3 linked regions of the Cricetulus griseus genome follow. The protein of the gene in region 2 interacts with the protein of the main gene of each other region in a pairwise test. Links are inferred from orthologs where the notes say so. Each region holds a gene or a part of one and is shown on either strand. Other genes may lie near its edges. The genes, in order: Fabp3, Shtn1 and Nme7.

Region 1 (6,279 bases), on a different chromosome or scaffold from region 2:
ATCCCAGCAATGTGTCTTACTCCCACTGGGGCCTAAGACCTCGCTGCCCTTCATAGCTTCAGGAGTAAATAACCAGGCATGTCAGGTGCCTTCTATCAGCCCCCCCACTCTTTTTTTTTTTTTTTTTTGAGACAGGGTCTCTCACTAGCAACCCTGGCTGGTGGCCTGGTATCTACAGATATATCTTCTGGCCTGGGATTAAAAGGATTAAAGGTTATGTTAGTGGTGGTGCTCACTTTATTTTTGAGACAGGGTTTCTCACTGAACCTGGGAGCTCACCTTTTCTGCTATACTGACTCACCAGCAAGCCCTCCATGATCCACCTGTCTTTATGCCTCTCCTGGAGATTATGGGGTTGCTGATATGAGCAATCATGCCCAGGTCTTATGTGGGCGCTGAAGTCCCCATGCTTGCACAGCAAACACCTTACCCATTGAGACATCTTACTTCCCTAGCCTTTCAGGGACCTTTCTTTCTTTGTTTCTTTGTTTCTTTCTTTGTCTACAGAATGAATTCCAGGACAACCAGAGCTACACAGTAGAGCCTGTCTCAAACAAAAGAAAGAAGGAAAGGAAGAAAGAAAGAAAGGAAGGAGGAAAGAAAGAAAGAAAGAAAGAAAGAAAGAAAGAAAGAAAGAAAAAGAAAGGAAAGCCGGGGCTCAGGTGTGGTTGTGCGTGCCTTTGATTCCAGCACTCAGGAGGCAGAGGCAAATCGACCTCTGGGTTTGAGGCCACCCTGGTCCACATAGTGAGTTCTGGGACAACCAAGGCAATATAGACAGAGACTCTGTCATAAACAAACAAACAAACAAAAACAGAGTTTTAAATATATTTTCTTTCATGATCTCCAAACATCACCCATTTCAAAGTTGAACTGATTCAGAGTGGCTTAAGTGAATTGCTCAAGGCCGAACCATACAGCTATTATCAATGGAGATCAGGACTGCTTCCTGGCAGCAGCTGTCAGCCAGCCCCAGCTGTCAGCCAGCCCAGCTCTCCAGCACAGCATTGCAGAGTGCTCTGGTCCCTGGGTCTCCAGCTTCTCAGTCCTTGAGAGAAGAGGTTCCTTCTCTAAAGCCTGTGACCTTGAATGGAAGCTATCCCATATCTCCCCCCACCCCCACCCCTTGGCACTTGCTGTAGTGCTGAGGTCACCAGGGCTCCAGGCCCAGCCCTGAGGCCTGCCCTATAGGCAGAATAGGGCCTTTCAGTCTTCTGACAACTGAATTCTCCAAAGGAATCAAGACCTGAGGGTAGGTAGGGGTGAGAGGACTCTTCCTCTTTAGCCTCTTTCCTAGAACAGCCGGGGTGGGGGTAGGGGGGGTGGGGAGGTGAGGGGGTGGGGTGGGGGAGTGGCCGGTGGAAGAGGCCTAAGAAGGAGGCTTTGTCACATTGCAGGTGTACTGGTCAGGTCCCAGGGCTCTGATAATGGCTCCTGAATGACTACCCTGGGCCCCCTTCTAAGAAGTTGAAGTTCCGTACACACCACTTTCTCCTGTATAGGGCCTTGCACACTTAGAAGTTCATTCATGCTCCTCTTCCCCTGAGTCCCGAAGTCAGGGTAGGTCCCTCCTATAGTCATGAGTTGCATGATTCTCCCAGAAGAGAATACTTTCAGCCTGTACCTTCTTCCCTGTGGTCTTTTCCAAAACAGGGCCAGCACAAATCAGGAACTTATTTTGAGACAGGATCCTGCCCTATGTAGCTCAGGCTGGCCTCCAACTCAGGATCCTCTAGCCTTCAGGTGCCTGAATAACTGTTGAATCAAGCCAGGCCAGCTGCACATGGCAGTAATCTCAGGAGACGGAGGGGAATCTTTAGTTCAAGGTCAATGTAGGCTGCACATTGAGATGTTTATTTGGTAATTATTAAACAGAAACCCGCTGAACTAAGCAATGGGCTCCACTGAGTTTCCTTTCCTCACGGGTAAAAAGGGGGTAGCACCTGCTAACAATGGAGACGTTCAGTGTGACCATGTCCCGAAGCAGCGGGCTACAATCATCACTAAAGTGGGTCTCATTTAATGAAGAGCTTTAATATGACAAGCAGGCTAGTGGAGAAATCAGGGGAAGCCCTGACGGCAGCAGAGGGCTGCAGCTTTCTGGCAGTTAAGGTGGCCACCGCCGGAAGAGCCGCCTGAATAGACAGAATTTCTGAAGGAGCTAAGCGCAGAACGACCCCAGTGCAAGCTCAGAGGTCAGAAAAGGCTGGGGCGTTCTCAGGGAGCGGTGGGGAGCAGGACCGCGGGGGCGCCGGCAGGGGACATTCCGCAGGGAGGGGCAAGCACGTGGGGGGCTAACGGAGGGACCAAGGTCACGTTCGTCCAGTGCAGGTGAGGCACTAGGCAGCCCAGCCACCGACGGTGTCCAGGGCGACTCCTCTCCACTGGGCGGGCGGGGAGCAGGCGGGCCTAGGGGCCGCGCTTGCTGTCTGGGCTCCAGTTCGCTTCTACTTATGGTGATCGCGTCGTTACCCTCTGAGCCTCCGCGCCGCTCCGACAGGAAGATGACCTAGGGCTGGTGAAATAGGTCAGCAGGTAGAAACATTCGCTGACAAGCCTGGCGACCTCAGTTCGGTGCCAGGACCCACACCGTGGAAGGAGAGCCGTGACTCCCCGAGTTACAGCGTTCCCCCTCCCTCAATGCACGCGCCTTCGTACGCCCTCACACCATAAGTGTAAAACAACAATCGGGGAAAAACAAAAGAGTGGCACGTGGTGCAGACGGCGGCGTTTCCCCAGCGTCGCACCAGCCTAAGAGCGAGTTTCCTTTCTGCGTGGCTGGGGGTGGTGGGTGCTCTTCTTGGGCTGCGGGGAGCGCCGCGCAGCCAGGGTGGGCACGGGTTCGGCGGCACCCGCAGGACCGCGGACGGCGCGGACGCAGGGGCCTGGCGGTTTGCGGGGGCGGGAAGGGCCGCAGCTCCTAGCGGGAGTGCAAGCCCCGGCTTCCTATTTCGGGAGCAAGGGGTGTGGGCCGCCCTCATCATGTGATGCGAGGGCTATTTAAAGAGGCTCTCGGGCCGGGAGCCGCGGTTCTCAGTTCCTGCACGCCTCGCCTCTCGCCACACCATGGCGGACGCCTTTGTCGGCACCTGGAAGCTAGTGGACAGCAAGAATTTTGATGACTACATGAAGTCACTCGGTGAGTGAACCGCGAGCGCGGAATCCCGGCCCTGGAGGGCCCGCGAGCCCGTCCTGGCGCTGCGTTCCCGCTGGAGTGCCCCGAGCGCCTCCTGCACGCTCCCTGCCAGTCCAGGCTGCAAAGACCCGCGCGCCGGCGTGGCGTGGGCTGCAGCATCCCGGTCTCCTGGGAGGGGGCTGTCGTGGTCCGGACCTGGGGAGTTAGGTAGCTAGGGAGAAGGCGCTCAGGGGAAGCAGGCTGTGGTTGCAGAGGTCCGGGCTGGGTGGCACCCACTTTCTAGGAAGCGAGGTATGTGATCGGAGGGGAGAGATGGGAGTTGAGGGAACGAGTGGAAGGCGGGAGGCTGGCTGCAGCAGAAAGCAAACGGGAGCATGGGTGGTCTAGAAACCGAGTCCGGAAAGGGAATAGAGCAGATGTGAATGCACTGTAGGAGGAAATACTTGAGCAAGACTGAGGAAAATCAGTGAGCTCGATCTGGGAAGAGGTGAAAACAGACCTGGGCAGTCAGCCATGCATAGTCCCTTCCCCTCCATGATGGATAGTGAAGGTGCCCTGGTTCTCCCCAGTGTGTTCACCTGCAATGTGCGCAAACCTCCCCCAATCAGTTTCTGAGACGCTGCTGGTAGAGTAGGGCAAGACCACCACCACACGCGGGCTTTCCTACCGCACCAGTCTCCCACCTGTTCAGTGCCAGGGATAGGGTGAAGAAAGCTGTTCTCTGGGATACAGCAGAGGGTGCCAGAAGCAAGGTCATGCACGGGCTGTGGAGGGGGAGTGCGGTTTGGGGATCAGGAAGAGCAAAGCTCCCTAGAACCTCACTGGTAAGATCTGTGAAAATGGAGCTCCAGGCCTTGCTTGGCTAGAAAAACAACAGCCCAGTGAGAGCAAGCTAATCATCTGATAGGAAAGCCCAGGATTTCTTTTTTCTTTTTGGTTTTTCGAGACAGGATTTCTCTGTATTGCTTTGGAGGCTGTACTGGCACTCGCTCTGGAGACCAGGCTGGCCTTGAACTCACAGAGATCCGCCTGCCTCTGCCTCCCGAGTGCTGGGGTTAAAGACTTGCGACACCAACGCCCGCCCGGCACAAGCCCAGGATTTCTTCAGGATTTCTTTTCGTCACTACTGACGACTGAACTTAGAGTCTTATGCATGCCAGGCAGGCACTGGAACACTGAGTCACACCCCCCTCCCCTTTTACTTTGTGTGACAGGGTCTCTCTAACTTACCCAGGTTGGCCTGGAACTTGTAACCTGCTATCCCAGCCTTCTCAGTAGTTGAAAACCCAGAACCACCTAGAGTTCTTCCTACTTCAGCATAGCCAGGGAGTGGGAGACCACCTTTGGGTGCATGGGGAATGTGGTATGACCCACTCCTCCAGGACTGACCCTAGCCGTTCCTTTCTTGCCTTGGTGTAGGTAAAAGCCCTTCCTGTGAAGTGTTTGGCTATATCATCCATGTCAACTAGGATGGGACCCGAAAACTGGGCTGTGTCATGGCTGAGCTAGATTTCGTTCCTTCTTCCGAGGAAGGAGGGCTGGCTTATGACATGTTGAGGGTATATATGCAGGTTCCTCACCTACTTCAGGATGTTAGCTGAAACGGGTCCACAAGGCATTTTTGTCATTTTGGTTTTGGGATTGGAACCCAAGGTCTTGCACATGCTAAGCAAACACCATGACTCTGAGCTTCCACCGAAGCCCGAACTCCCATCAGCACCTACGCTCTCTAGGACAGAAGCTGGGCTTCATTTTTGTTTTGAGACAGGGTCTCACTCTGTAGCCCTAGCCGTCCTGGAGCTCCTTATGTAGACCAGGTCCTTTTGCCTCCCCAGCACTGGGGTTAGAGGCATGCAAGTTGGCCGTTCTTGACAGGGTAGGGAGTACTAAATTGCCCAGGTTTAGTTCCACCTTCCCAAGCCAAATTGCTAACAGCTGGTTTGCTGCTGAGGCCTAACTCACTCAGATACCAGTAGGCAAAGCCTTATCGTACAGAACCAAAGCAGCCCAGCCTAGTATTTGACTGCAGGTACAGATGGTGGCTTTAAGATACTATGGGAATCTATGTCACTAAACGCTGATAATTTTTTCTTTCCTCTGGAAACAGAGTCTTACTGTAGCTCACGTTTTAGAGAGGTACAGCCCAAGGTGGCCTTTAATTCTTGGCATTTCTCCTTGCTTCGGCCTCCTGAGTGAGATTATAAGCAGGTGTCACTAGGCTCAACTTGTTTGACTTTGGATAAGACAGCACAACTCTCTTGGCCTCATTTGTAAATTGCGAGTAATAAAAGCTATGCTTAGGGCTGTTTCAAGCAGTACTTGGCTACCCATGCAGAGTTTGTGCAGTGTACATAGCAAATACACAGGGCCAGGTGAATATTTGGAGGTCCCATGCCGTATCCCTATGTTGGGCTGCCTCCTGCCTCATTGCTGAGGACAGCTCAGCATGTGCTGGGGCCAGGGGACAGGTACTCAACAATGGAAGATTCAAGGGAGCTGCAACCCACGGAGGTGAAGGCTGGGCCTACCGGGTCTGTGTACTTCACCTGCTGTGGACACCTGGGACCTTGCCTAGGACTCAGATCCCATGATTATGTCAGGAGTCTTCTCCCCAGGGACTTCAACTCAATCCCTAAGTTTGTAGGAGACAAAACTCTCCATTGTACTTTTTTTAGCCAGGAGGCCTTGAAGCTACAGCGTTGCTACACAGAGGGTGGAGCACTGATGCCCCCAGTTTCACGATGAAAAATAGACATCCTTGTCCAGAGGACTCTGAAGGCTGTTGGCTTTCTTCTTTCTTCAGTCTTTCGGTCTGAGTGTTCAGGAAGCCAGAAGCAGCAGGGGCTCTTCTCTGGAGGTGACACAGGGCTCAGCAGCTTCAATCTGATTGGTGACCCTGGCCTTAAACTCCATTGCGGTGGTTACATCTACAAACCCTTGTAGGAACAGGACTGAGCCAGGGCCATATAGGTGGTTTGTACCTCTTGGTACCTCACTCTGATTTCCAGTGTTGCTGACATGCCTCGTGTTTCACATCAGCCTAACCGCTGCAGAGCTAAGGAAAAGACTGACTGACTGAGAAAATGGCCACACAAATTCACTGGCCACTATGGTCCTCCTTCCCCATGGTTGTATAATACCTC
Region 2 (6,179 bases):
GATAGAGCACGGGTCTTCAGGCTTATGCAGCAAGAGCCATCTTGCCAACTATATTTTAAAGTTTTAATGTGATTTTACTTATATTTTTCAGTGTATTTTTCTTGCTACTCAGTTTCCCTTCTGGATAATTTGAACAATAATGGAATATTGCTTTAAATTCTGTATTAAGATTTTTATTCTCACTCTCATTGAAAAGACGTATGGGATTTCTCAGAAATTCCGATACCTGTGGTCTTCTTCCTCCAGTAAGAGACCAGCTTTCTGACTCTGAGTCATTCCTGTCACAACAAAACCAAAACTCATTATGTTTGGTGACTAAATGTTCTAGAAGAGGACACACTTAAAGAATTTTGATGAAGTTTGGGGGAGGCAGTATGACTACTCCCTCCACCCGCAAATCCCTCTGTGTGCATAGTCCCCTGTAGCCCAGACTGTTTTCAGAGTCGATGTTTAGCCAAAGATAACCTTGAATTCCCGCTCTTTCTGTCTCTGTCTTCCCGAGTCCTGGGATTGAAGGCATGTAATTACACAGGTTTTTGTGATGCTGCTGGTTGAACCCAGCCAGGGTGAGGGGAAGCTAGACAAGCACTCTACTAACTGGGCTGCTACTGTTTCAGACATGTCATGGGGGTTCTGAGAAAGAAAGTCACACGATGAAGACCTTTCAGATGAAGTGTTTATGCTTGTTTGTCTTCAAAGTGCTGCAGTTGAGGTACTTTGTACTCATGCAGTGTTGAGCACATTTTCCAGAATGTTTTCCAGAATTTCCTCTTCCTCAAGAGAAGCAAATCCCAGAGAATTCCAGAGAGAGGATGGAGTGGGCCACCCCACTTGATTTCCCTGCTCTGTGGCTATAGCTGTTGCACCAGCTCTTTGCCAGGAACACATGCAATAAAAGAAACTTGGAACTTTGCTTCAGCTGCGGTTAGCACCCTTTACAGTGACGGTGCTTGAAGCACTAAGATGCTGGCAAGGGAGCCTGTCTGGTTAAGTTTTAATAGAGGAAAAAATGTGTTGAAATTATTGTAATAATAATGATAACCAAGATAATTCATTTCAACTAAACACTGCTCAAAAATTTAAGACACCAGTGAATCATTGATTACCCCTGTTGGTTGGACTCTGAGTCTCGGGGTAGAATGACTCGGCTTATGCACATTGTGTGGGAGGGGGGTCTCTGTGCCCATAAATGCTTACAGACAGATGACACTGAAGAAGTGTGGGTTCCATGTACTACGAAAAATTATGTTTCATTCTTTCAGCTCTTCCAGAGGAGTTGAGTTCAATTCCCAGCACCCGCATCAGATGCCTCACAACTACCAGTGACTTGAGCTCCAGGGAAATCTGTCACCCTTTTAGGGCTTCAGGTACCCCCATACACACATACAGGCACACATTGAGACACACGTGTGCACATAAATAATAAGACATCTTTAAAAAATAGTGTGTTCTACCTGTTGGAGCTGATAGTGTGTCTTAATTTTGCACAACCTTGTAGTATCCTGCTTGGTAGACTTTTCACAAATCCTGCACAGGAGAAGAATGAAAGCTCGGCCAGTGTGTGTGTGTGTGTGTGTGTGTGTGTGTGTGTGTGTGTGTAGGGGGAGCACGTTTGCGTACAGCAATACGTGTTTGCAGTATCTTTCTCACTCTCCACCTTACTTTTTGAGACAGGGCCTCTCACTGAACCTGAAATTCACCGATTGGCTAGACTGACCAGCCACTGAGCTCTAGGAGCTCCCCATCTCCCATTTCTCCCTCCAGAGCCAACATTACAGATGTGTGAGGCCATGTGGCCACACCCAGCTTTTACATGTATACTTTGGACCCAAACTTGGGACCTTACGATTACACAGCTGCCACTCCCAGTCTGAGTCACATACAACCCCCCCAGCCCCAGCTCCCTGATAGCCACTTTTTTGTCCATATAGGAGGATACACTGAGAAGAAAACATGAGTTTATTTGTATTGTGTATTCATGGTGACTTCGACTGGCTGGGGCTAATTTACAGACTGTGTAGATCACTGAAGTTCCAGTCTTTGCACATGGAAGTTTGCAAGAATTTTATCTGTGGTGATGTATTATTTATGATTTATTAAAGCGCGCCTGAGGATTCAGAAAGCAAAGCCAGCCTCAAGCTATAGAGATCAGTCAGTGGTGGCACAAACCTTTAATCCCAAGACTCAGGATTAAGAGGTAGATGGGTGTCTGTTAGTTCAAGGCCACACTGAATACATAAAATCGATCCAGTCCTAAAAGACACAGCACACACAACGGTGATCAATACCTGGGATCACACGCCTTTAATTCCAGCATTGGGGGGATATAAGACAGGCGCAGGGTCTCAGAGCTGGCATTCAGTCTAAGAGTTAAGTCTCGAGCCACGTTTCGGAGAGCATAACTCTCTGAGTGAATCTGAGTCGCAGTGAAGTCGGGAGCAGTTTGAGTTTTGCTCCTTTGGCCCGAGCTGAAGCAAAGCTAGCGGCTGCTGCTTTGCTTTTCTGGTCTTCAGCTTGAAGCTTGAAGCCCGATGTCTGACTCTGGGCCTTTTATTTATCATGCTCCATTTATCTTTGTCCTGAGTTACATTTCCTAATATTTTGTGTTACACGGCAGATGAAGTTGTATGTGTGCTCTGCGGTAAACCACCTCATTGTGCACAGCTTGGAGTTAAGCTACAGTGTCAATGCAAGACGCTGTTAAGATCCTGACGGTATAAAGTGTTGCTGTTCAGAGACTTCAGAGTTTGTGAAATAGCTAATGCTTGGGATTGCCCACCAGTCATCTTGGTACGGTGAAGAGAAAGTAAATAACAGACAAATAGAAAATAATTCTGCTGTCAATCGTGTCAACATGGGAGAATTAGCCGAGTCGCATTCATAAGCAACTCGATGAAGCGTTCAATACATGCTAGTACAGTCTCCCTGCTGAACTGTCTCTCACTGGGGGAAACTCACATAGGTCTAATAAAGAGCAGAGGAGGTGAATCAATGAGTTTAAGTTCTGGTCGTGATACCTATGTACCCTTGGGAAAATCACTTGTTCTCTCTGAGCCTCCACTTCTTTGTCAGGGAAATGCAATGGCTGCAGTTTTCTATTGGATGGTGTTGTTCTTAGTACTGAAAGATATCTGCACATAGTGATGTCCACTGTATGGTATGGTGCTTAGTGACGGTTGCCAGCAGGAAGTTAGCTCATAGGATGTATGTAAGAATGAGACAAAGCATAGAAAGTGCCTGGCACGGGTGTATTATTGACATATACTTACCAATGCATTTTAAAGCCGTAAAGAAATGTTCAAAACTGAGGTGTAGAATTCAGTTAGTGTATCCCCTCTGTGCTTAGAGTGGTGATTTAGGTATTGGAAATGGTGTGAAGTTGGGAATTGCTCCCTGGCAAAGTCCTACGTCAGGCATTTCCTTTGGGGTCTTCAAGGACTGCACTCACTGCCCTTTGAGCTGCACTGGGGGTCTGCATGGGCTGGGTTGGTGCATACATGTTTGTAATTAACTTTTGCAGATGTTCATAGAACAAAACAAGCTGAAGAGACAAAGCCACCTTCTGCTGCAGAGCGCCCTTCCTGACCAGCAGCTTTTGAAAGCATTAGACGAGAACTCAAAACTCATCCAGCTGCTCGAAGGAGAGAGGATCCAGCATAAGCAAAAGGTAACTGATTTTACTCTGGAATTGTGGGCACACATATGTGCACACGTGCACACGCATACACAGATGCACAGACACGTCACACATGTGTGCATGTGTGCACATAGGCATATCACATACACACGTACACACGTCACATGCATGAATATCCATGTGCACACATACATGCATGTGCATACAGACACATCACACACGCACACACATAAGCACACACACAGACACATCATACGCACATACACACCACAGACTCACGCACATGTATAATCAGCTTACAACCATACATTAAAACAGGAGGTGCTAGTATGGCTTTCTAGAGTTCCATCTTTTTGCCTGTTGACTAAGTCCTAAATACCTTTGAGAAAACAACAGCTACCAAGGGAATTTAATGTACTGTTCAGCCACAGTTTATAGCACACTGTCATGGAGTCTTTGAAATGATCAGGAAATCGATCATTAAGAATGAGTTTGGAGAAGCAAGGGAAAGGATAGGACTCAGAGTGTATTGGGCAGTTTGTAGTCTTGAAGTCTGTTTGGAAAGATGTGGTTTTCAGAGACGGGATACACTCAGGAGAGTGTGTTGGTTTTGCAGAGCTTCTCGGGGGACATAGGGCCTTATTCTGAGAGGGAGGGAAAGAAAAACCTGTCATTAGTAATTGCTTTCTTAGGTACAGTTTGTGGTCATGCAGCCTTGCGTAGATATCTGTAGTGCTTTGTTCAGGAGTAGAACACTTCAGGCCAGTGCTGCCCAGGTCCCTCTGTAGGGCAGAAGAGAGGGAGGAGGTGGGAGAAGACTTACAGGAGCCACTTTGGAACAGTGGCTTCAGTATTTGTGGGTCCTCATGGCGACCTCGTTCATGGGAAAGGCTGTTACCGGCAACTGACTTTTCCCTGTCAGTGTCTTGTGCATGACCCTCTCTACTTCTGACTCTGTTTTACATCTAGCAGTAAGGTCAAGCTGGGTTCTGTTTCCTCAGTGGGAAGTGTTGGCAGATGCACACAGAACCCCTGCTCCCCAAGGCTACAGGTGAAAAATTTCTTTTTCTACTCCCACATTCAGGAATCACCTTTTCAGTAAGAGTGTGTGTGTGTGTGTGTGTGTGTGTGTGTGTGTGTGTGTGTGTGAGAGAGAGAGAGAGAGAGAGAGAGAGAGAGAGAGAGAGAGAGATCTGTGTATAAGTATGTGTGTGTGTGTGGTGTGGTGTGTAAGTATGTGTATGGTGTCTGTGTGTGTGTGTATGTGTAAGTATGTATGTGGTGTATGTGTGTGTAGTCTATATGTGTATGTAAGTGTGTGTGTGTGTCTCTCTGTGTGTGTGTGTGTATGTGTAAGTATGTATGTGGTGTCCCTGTGTGTGTATGTGTGTGTAGTCTATATGTGTATGTAAGTGTGTGTGTGTGTGTGTGGTGTCTCTGTATATGTAAGTATGTGTGGAATGTGTAAGTATGTGTCTGTGTGTGTGTGTGTGGTATCTCTGTATATGTAAATATGTGTGGTATGTGTAAGTATGTATGTGGTATCTATGAATGTGGTATCTGGGTATGTGGTGTCGTGTGTGTGTGTGTGTGTGTGTGTGTGTGTGTGTGTGTGTGTGTGTGTGTGTGTGTGTGTGTTTAGCTTGTGTCAAATATTATCTTTTGGTCCTGAGAAGACAAACTATAATTGTTAACTTGGTTGGTAGATAATACAAGCCTGGAGTTCACAAATTGAACTGAACTTTAGGACTGAGTTGTTTTCTGTGTTCCTGTTTGACAAAGGAGCAGAGGTCGTTGTGGGTGAAACTACAGCAATTACTGGTTCTACAGGCTTTGTCCTGCCCTAATCATTTTATTCTGTTTAGATGAAAGTTTCTGTCCTGCCTGCTCCCATAGCTGTTGAGTCCAAAATAAACACACAGAGGCTTATATTAATTATAAACTGTTTGGCAGATGGCTCAGGTTTCTTTTGGCTAGCACTCTCTTAATTGTAAACCCATTTCTATTAATCTGTGTATCTCTACATGGTCTTGGCTTACCGGTGATACCCAGGCCTGTTGCTTCCTCAGCAGCTGCATGCCTTCTCTCTGACTCCACCTACCACCTTTCTCTATCCCTGTTTGGATTTCCTGCCTGGCTAGATCCCACCAGTCCATCGGCTGAAACAGTTTTATTCATCAACCAATAAGAGAAACATATATTCACAGCATACAGAAGGATATTTCCCCATCACTCTCTACTCTGTGTGGTGTAAAGTATCTCCTACTTGAACACAAATTCCCTCATAGACTCATTACTTTTTAAAACACAGATATTTTGCTTTTGCTTTTATAAAATAATGTATGTTCCTTATAGTAAACACACATTTTTTTTTTTAAATGTAAAAGCAGTAAAAGAAAATTAAGATTACCTGAGAATCCAAGGTGTATATTTTTGGGCAGCTTGAAAGGCTATATAAATACATGGCTTTATGATGTATATATGATTTGTTTAAGTGGAGTTTCGTGATGCGTGACTTTCTTTAACATTTTCCAGTTGGTAA
Region 3 (6,179 bases), on a different chromosome or scaffold from region 2:
TGTGGCCAAAATTCTAAAGCTTAAAATTAATTCTAAGTTTTGAATTAGAAGATGTCTCCTCATTTTTAAATATAAATTGTTTAGACTTTAAATAGCAAACATTCTTATTGATCTGATATTTAATTGTATTGAGAATCCGGTGAGATGCTGATAAAATGGAAGACAGATGAAGTGTAACATTAATAAAAAAATAAAAATATCCTCCTATTTTAATGTTATATCTCAGCATCCATAGGACCCATACTTGGGATTGCTATTTGGTTGAAAAAAAACTTAACTTATATGCAGATCGTGTGTGTGTGTGTGTGTGTGTGTGTGTGTGTGTGTGTGTGTGTGTGTGTGTGTGTGTGTTTTAATTTGTACGTTGTTTTATTAACATATACTAAAGTAACTATTTTAAGAAATCTTAACTATTGTTATTTTGCTTATTTTATAGGAAAGAAGCAACAGACTTTCTTGTAGACCACCACTCAAAGCCTTTTTATAAGTAGGTGCTTACATGGGGACTAAAATTGTTTTTTCTATACTTTTGTTAGAAAGACTTCTTATATCCACCACTAAATACTTGAAACTTAATCAGAAACAAATAGATCGCTTAGTTAAATTTTAAGAAGCATCCTTTTATGTTTCATTGAATTGAAAATGTGATATATATATCTAGATATATATAGACATATATAGACATATATATAGACATATATATAGATATAGACATATAGATAGATAGATAGATAGATAGATAGATAGATAGATAGATCTATCTATATATAGTTTTTGTATTTTGAGACAGAGTTTCTCTGTGTAACTGTCATAGCTCTCCTAGAACTAGCTCTGTAGACCAGGCTGGCCTTGAACTCACAGAGATCCTCCTGCCTCTGCCTCCCAAGTGCTGGGATTAAAAGCATGCACCACCACTGCCTGGCTTATAATTATATTTTATTCTGAGAATTTTGTTGTGCTTTTAAGGTCTTTATTTTGGTATCTTGTATGTACAAAACAAGTCACAGAACTAAATAATTTGACACATATTTTGTTCTTTTGGAAATAAATGGCTAATAGCTAATAATGTTTGTTAGAAACTGAATTGATTATAAAAATTTTGGATGTAATTAAAATGAATAATGTGCATAGCTATTGACAAGCAAATATCTGTATTTCTTTTTTTAAACTTTTTTTATTAATTTGCTTTCTACATCGCAATCCCAGTTTCCCCTCCCTCCTCTCCTCCTGCTCTCCCCACCTAACCCCTCTATATTTCTAATAAAGACAAATGAAATTTATCCAATCTGCTGCAGTAGGCGTTTTATTTGATAATCTACATAGAATAAATTTTTAAAAAAAAAAAGATTTTATTATGTGTACAGTCTTGTTCCTGCATGCCAGCAAAGGGCACCAGATCTCATTCACGGTGGTTGTGAGCCATCATGTGGTTACCAGGAATTGAACTCAGGACCTCTGGAAGGGCAGTCAGAGCTCTTAACCGCTGAGCCATCTCTCCAGCCCATAGAATAACTTTATATAAAAAAAAAGAACTCTATTTCATAAAATTACTATATTATAGCTTAATCAGATATTATAAAATATTCCTAAACTTTGTTAGAATTATCATATACATTTTTTGGCAATTATTCTTTGTTTTAGGTTCTTTGTCTTTATAACCCTGAATCATAACTCCTAGCTTAATATCTTACATGCTGTTCATATGCAGAAAGTTTGAATAACTGAATGAATGAACTGGTAGTCTGACATTGGGAAGACAATCAGAGCCCAGCTGAAGTAACTGAAGTCAGCTCAGGATCCATGTCCTCGCAGTAGCCCCACCCCTCAATTGTTATATGCCACACTCATTATAAAATTCTCAGGGTTGGATCCTATTTTATGGCTATATATATATATATATTGCATGATAATTAAATGCTTATTAAGTAGGTAACTGTTCCCTCCCTTCCTCCCTCTCTCCCTTCGTACTTCCTTTCTGTATTTGGTTTTGGCTGCTAAGATGTAGCAGTATGTTTAAGAATTCTGTGTCCTCGGGGCTGGAGAGATGGCTCAGTGGTTAAGAACACTGCCTGCTCTTCCAAAGGTCCTGAGTTCAATTCCCAGCAGGTGGCTCACAACCATCTGTAATGAGATCTGGTGCCCTCTTCTGGTGTGCAGAGACATACATGGAAGCAGAATGTTGTATACATAATAAAAAAAATAAATTAAAAAAAAAGAATATCGTGTCCTCTTAACATAGTGTGTATAGATACTTCCTTCTAGTTGTTACTTCTTGGAAATGTTTTTCTAAAGTGAAAAGGGTTGATTAATGAAGGGGTGGGAAGGGAGTGTATAAAGCAGTCAGGGTCATAGCCTGTTACGCTGTCTTCCTTTCTCTGAGAAAGTCCTGTCCTTTCTCTATTTTGCCTGGCATGTCACTTATTTCAAGTGAAATTTATCATTGCTGCCTTCTGTACATGAAGAAATGGAAAAATAAAATTAAGTGTCAGTTTTCCTTCCCAGGGAGCTGGTACTAAGACATAAACTTTTAATGAAGTCCTGTGTGTATGGTTGATCATTTAGTGTATCATAACCCAGAGTAGTTTTCTCCTAATAAGAGGCTAGTGTTTGAAGGCCTGGTGCCATTCTTTTTCTTTCTCACATTGGTTTAGAGTTGTCATTCTCTGCATAGAAAATGTTACAAAATGTCATGCTCATTATTTTGTTATTGTAAAATTCTACCTACCACAGTAAACCGTATGTAAATAAGAAGGGAATCACTTTTGTCCTTAGAATAATAGGAAAAGCTTAGATCAACAATATGCACTTCAAGTTAGTGAAATGCCAGAATTCAACAAGCTTTCCCTTTGCAAACAGTAGTGAACCTGACAAAAGTTCTGTAATGATTTTGTAGCAAACTAGATCCATGTAAAGCTCCAGTCATGAGATGAGGGTTTTGCACTGCCCATATTCACTTCACTGTGCCCAGAAACTCTAGTCCCTGAAATTACTAATGTTCAACCGTATCTTCATTGTTAAGGCAGGTGTCTAGATTGACAGAGTAGAGAAGTAATTCAGACTTTTCCCTGTTTCCTAGCGAAGTGATCCAGTTTATTACAAGTGGGCCTGTTATTGCCATGGAGATTTTAAAAGATGATGCGATCTGTGAGTGGAAAAGATTGCTTGGACCCGCAAACTCTAACCTAGCTCATACAGATGCCCCCGGAAGCATCAGAGCCGTCTTTGGGACAGATAGCATAAGAAACGCGGCTCATGGCCCTGATTCTTTTGCATCTGCTGCCAGAGTAAGTTGTTTTGAGAAATATTTTTCTCCTGTTTTGTTTGGAAAATTGTTTTATGTCAGAATAAAATATTTCTCCCACTGAGGACTTTGGGAAAATTTAAAAAGCTGATGTAGTAGTGGCAAACAACTTTTGACATTTTCCTAGGATCAAGTATCGGTTCAAAGCCTCATCTCCTTTTTAAATTAGTTGTGTTGGTCACAGTGGAGTGCAGTTTTCTCCAAGTCTGCCGTTTGTTGCCACGCTTCTTTCTGTAAAGGCATAAATGCTGAGTCTCATGTTTGTGACTGAATTCAATTAGGAATCCTAGTTTACTGATATGTAGTAGATATTCCTAAAGAACCTTCATTGGAGTAGTCTGTAATTTAGATCATGCACTGTTATTAGCTAAGTAGGAGTCTAGGAGAAACACTAGAAATACATGGAACGTATGTGTGAAGATGCAAGAAGTCTCGGGACAGCAGGATGGCTTAGTGGGTAAAGGTGCTTGTATCAACACCTGGTACCCTGAGTTTGTTAACTGGGACCCCTGTGGTGGAAGGTGAGAATTCTGTAAGTTGTTCTCTGGCCTCTGGCCATGCATGTACAAATAGACAGCCAGACAGATTGATAAAAAATTTCAAAGCAAAAAAGTTTCTTTCTTTAAAAGAAAGAATGAAATCTAGGTCTTAACAACAACAACAAAATAATAGTGAGAATTATCCTGTGAGCGGCTTCAATAGAAGATTGAATTTGAGTGTTTGTAACAGCTTATTTGTAATAGCCCAAACTAGAGATATCACAAATGTCCAGTAGATGAACAAAATGAACAAGCCATGCTGTAGTCACACATGGCATATTATTGTAAAAAGGAAGGAAGGATTGATTACAGGGAGTGAATCTCAAAATATTTTTTGAGTGAAAGAAGATAGAAAAAATAATGGATGAATTTATATAAAATTATAAAGATCGGCTTATAGTGACAAAAAGCAGGTTAATAGTCAATAGTAATAGTTAATTACTATTAGTAATAAAAGTTAATTATTCTTTTATAATGTCCTGCCAACAGACTCACTGAAATATACAGTATTTGAGTAAGTTCTCCTCCTCCCTCTTGCTTCTGGTTTAAAGAAATATTTGCACATCAGAATAGAAGGGAGGCCGTTAGAGAAGAGGGCGGAGAAGATAAAAGAGTAAGGAGTTAATAAGGAACTAGAAAGCATCACAGGGTGTGTTGGACCTCTATGAAAATATCCCATGAAGCCTATTATTCTATATAATTTAATGTACACTATAGAGTATGAAAGTTCATTAGTATAGCTTTGATTTATTTTATTGTAAATTTGAGTCAGGGTCTCACCATGTAGCCATATTGACCTGGAACTCACTGTATAGGCCCGGCGGACTTGTACTAGCAGTGAGCCTCCTGCCTCTGCTTCCCAAACGGTAGACTTGCTCTTTCAATTATAAATTCAGGGAAAAGAAAATACTAACTCTGAGGCAGGTTTTGTTTTAGGTGTTTTGGAAGCTACTAAGCTCTGCAAGTTGGTTCTTTTCTTCAAATTTATAATTTGGTTGCTGACAAGTCACAGCTGTGATGAATGCATGGCGCTGATTGGGAGCGTGGAAAATCTTTCTAGAGGATAGTTAGATAGTTCTGTGCTCACTGGCAGATGTTTTGGAGCATGGAACAGAGATTTTTATGGAGAATATAGTGGAAAGAATAGTGCTGAAAGCTCAGGGACAGCATTTAAGTAACTAAAAGAATTGATTAGTATGAACATCTTTGGTTCATTCAGATTGCTAGCTAACTTCTTGATTTAATGAGCTGTAGGCAAAGCAATAGCCACTGTGTGAATCAGGCCAAAATACGTTGCTCATTTTGATTTATAATAGAACTATTGTTAATTAGCTGTGGTTCTCAGACTCCTAAACATTAATTTTTCTGTTTTTATAAGGATGTCCTTGTTTTAACTTTTTATATTTTATTTTTTAAGTTTAAAATTAATCTGTATTTATGAACTATACTTTTGGGAAAGTAAGAACTATATATTTTTCCCAGTTCTCAGAATTTGTTGAAACCTGTCAGTTATAATAGAGGTCACACAATGATGTCTTCACATTGCTACAATACTCTGCATGTTCTGATTGTTAAGTGCTGAAATGGAGCTAAGTTACTCAGTCTGCAAATTCACATTTAGAAAATCAGAAGCATAGAATTTATATCATGAAACTTTAAAAGTAATTGTATATCTTCGGAAATATTCTGGAAGTTTCAGATAAGAGATCATCTTTTCTCATCTTTCTGTATCTACAGGAAATGGAATTATTTTTTCCTTCAAGTGGAGGCTGTGGACCAGCAAACACTGCTAAATTTACCAACTGTACCTGTTGCATTGTGAAGCCCCATGCCATCAGTGAAGGTAAGTGCCATGTTGTAGATGCTTTATTAATTAGAACAGCTTATTTTGTTAATGTTTGTTTTCTTGCTGTGTTTGCATGATGAAATTAAGTACATGTTAATATTTCAGATTCTTTTCTTTGAAAGTCCATGAATCAAGGCAACATTTAAAGATAAATGTGTCTAGATTTCTGTCTTCATTTTGGAATTTGTGCATTCTTAGTAACTGCTCCTTTGGCTGTTGATCATGGCCAAACTCATCCATGTTTTGAACAGATCTTGCTTCCTTGCCGTCTAACCTTCCTTCTGTCTTTCCAACTATATAATGGGTTCCCTCTCTTCACTTAAATAGCACTCCAAGTGCATATATGAAGCGTGGTTTATAGGGCTGGAGAAATGGCTCAGTGGTTAAGTGCAATTGTTGTTCTTGCAAAGGACCAGGTTCAGTTCCCAGCACCCACATGGTGGCTCACAATCATCCACAACTCCTGTTCTAGGGGATCTGATGCTCCCTTCTG

The links.
Region 1: the proteins of Shtn1 (region 2) and Fabp3 interact in binary tests that used the Homo sapiens proteins (3 or more experiments, as listed by UniProt). The two-hybrid records come from large-scale screens. The link is inferred for Cricetulus griseus from reciprocal best matches to the Homo sapiens genes SHTN1 and FABP3.
Region 3: the proteins of Shtn1 (region 2) and Nme7 interact in binary tests that used the Homo sapiens proteins (3 or more experiments, as listed by UniProt). The two-hybrid records come from large-scale screens. The link is inferred for Cricetulus griseus from reciprocal best matches to the Homo sapiens genes SHTN1 and NME7.

What each region holds. Positions count from the first base shown.
Region 1 is NC_048595.1:22,744,590-22,750,868, reverse strand, and holds the start of Fabp3 (fatty acid-binding protein, heart), read left to right. Parts: upstream 1-3,066; coding exon 3,067-3,139; intron 3,140-6,279. UniProt on the Homo sapiens protein: FABPs are thought to play a role in the intracellular transport of long-chain fatty acids and their acyl-CoA esters.
Region 2 is NC_048596.1:2,328,011-2,334,189, forward strand, and holds part of Shtn1 (shootin-1), read left to right. Parts: intron 1-3,520; coding exon 3,521-3,667; intron 3,668-6,179. UniProt on the Homo sapiens protein: Involved in the generation of internal asymmetric signals required for neuronal polarization and neurite outgrowth.
Region 3 is NC_048598.1:27,996,206-28,002,384, reverse strand, and holds part of Nme7 (nucleoside diphosphate kinase 7), read left to right. Parts: intron 1-436; coding exon 437-487; intron 488-3,076; coding exon 3,077-3,284; intron 3,285-5,577; coding exon 5,578-5,683; intron 5,684-6,179. UniProt on the Homo sapiens protein: Possesses an intrinsic kinase activity. Displays 3'-5' exonuclease activity with a preference for single-stranded DNA. Does not seem to have nucleoside diphosphate kinase activity.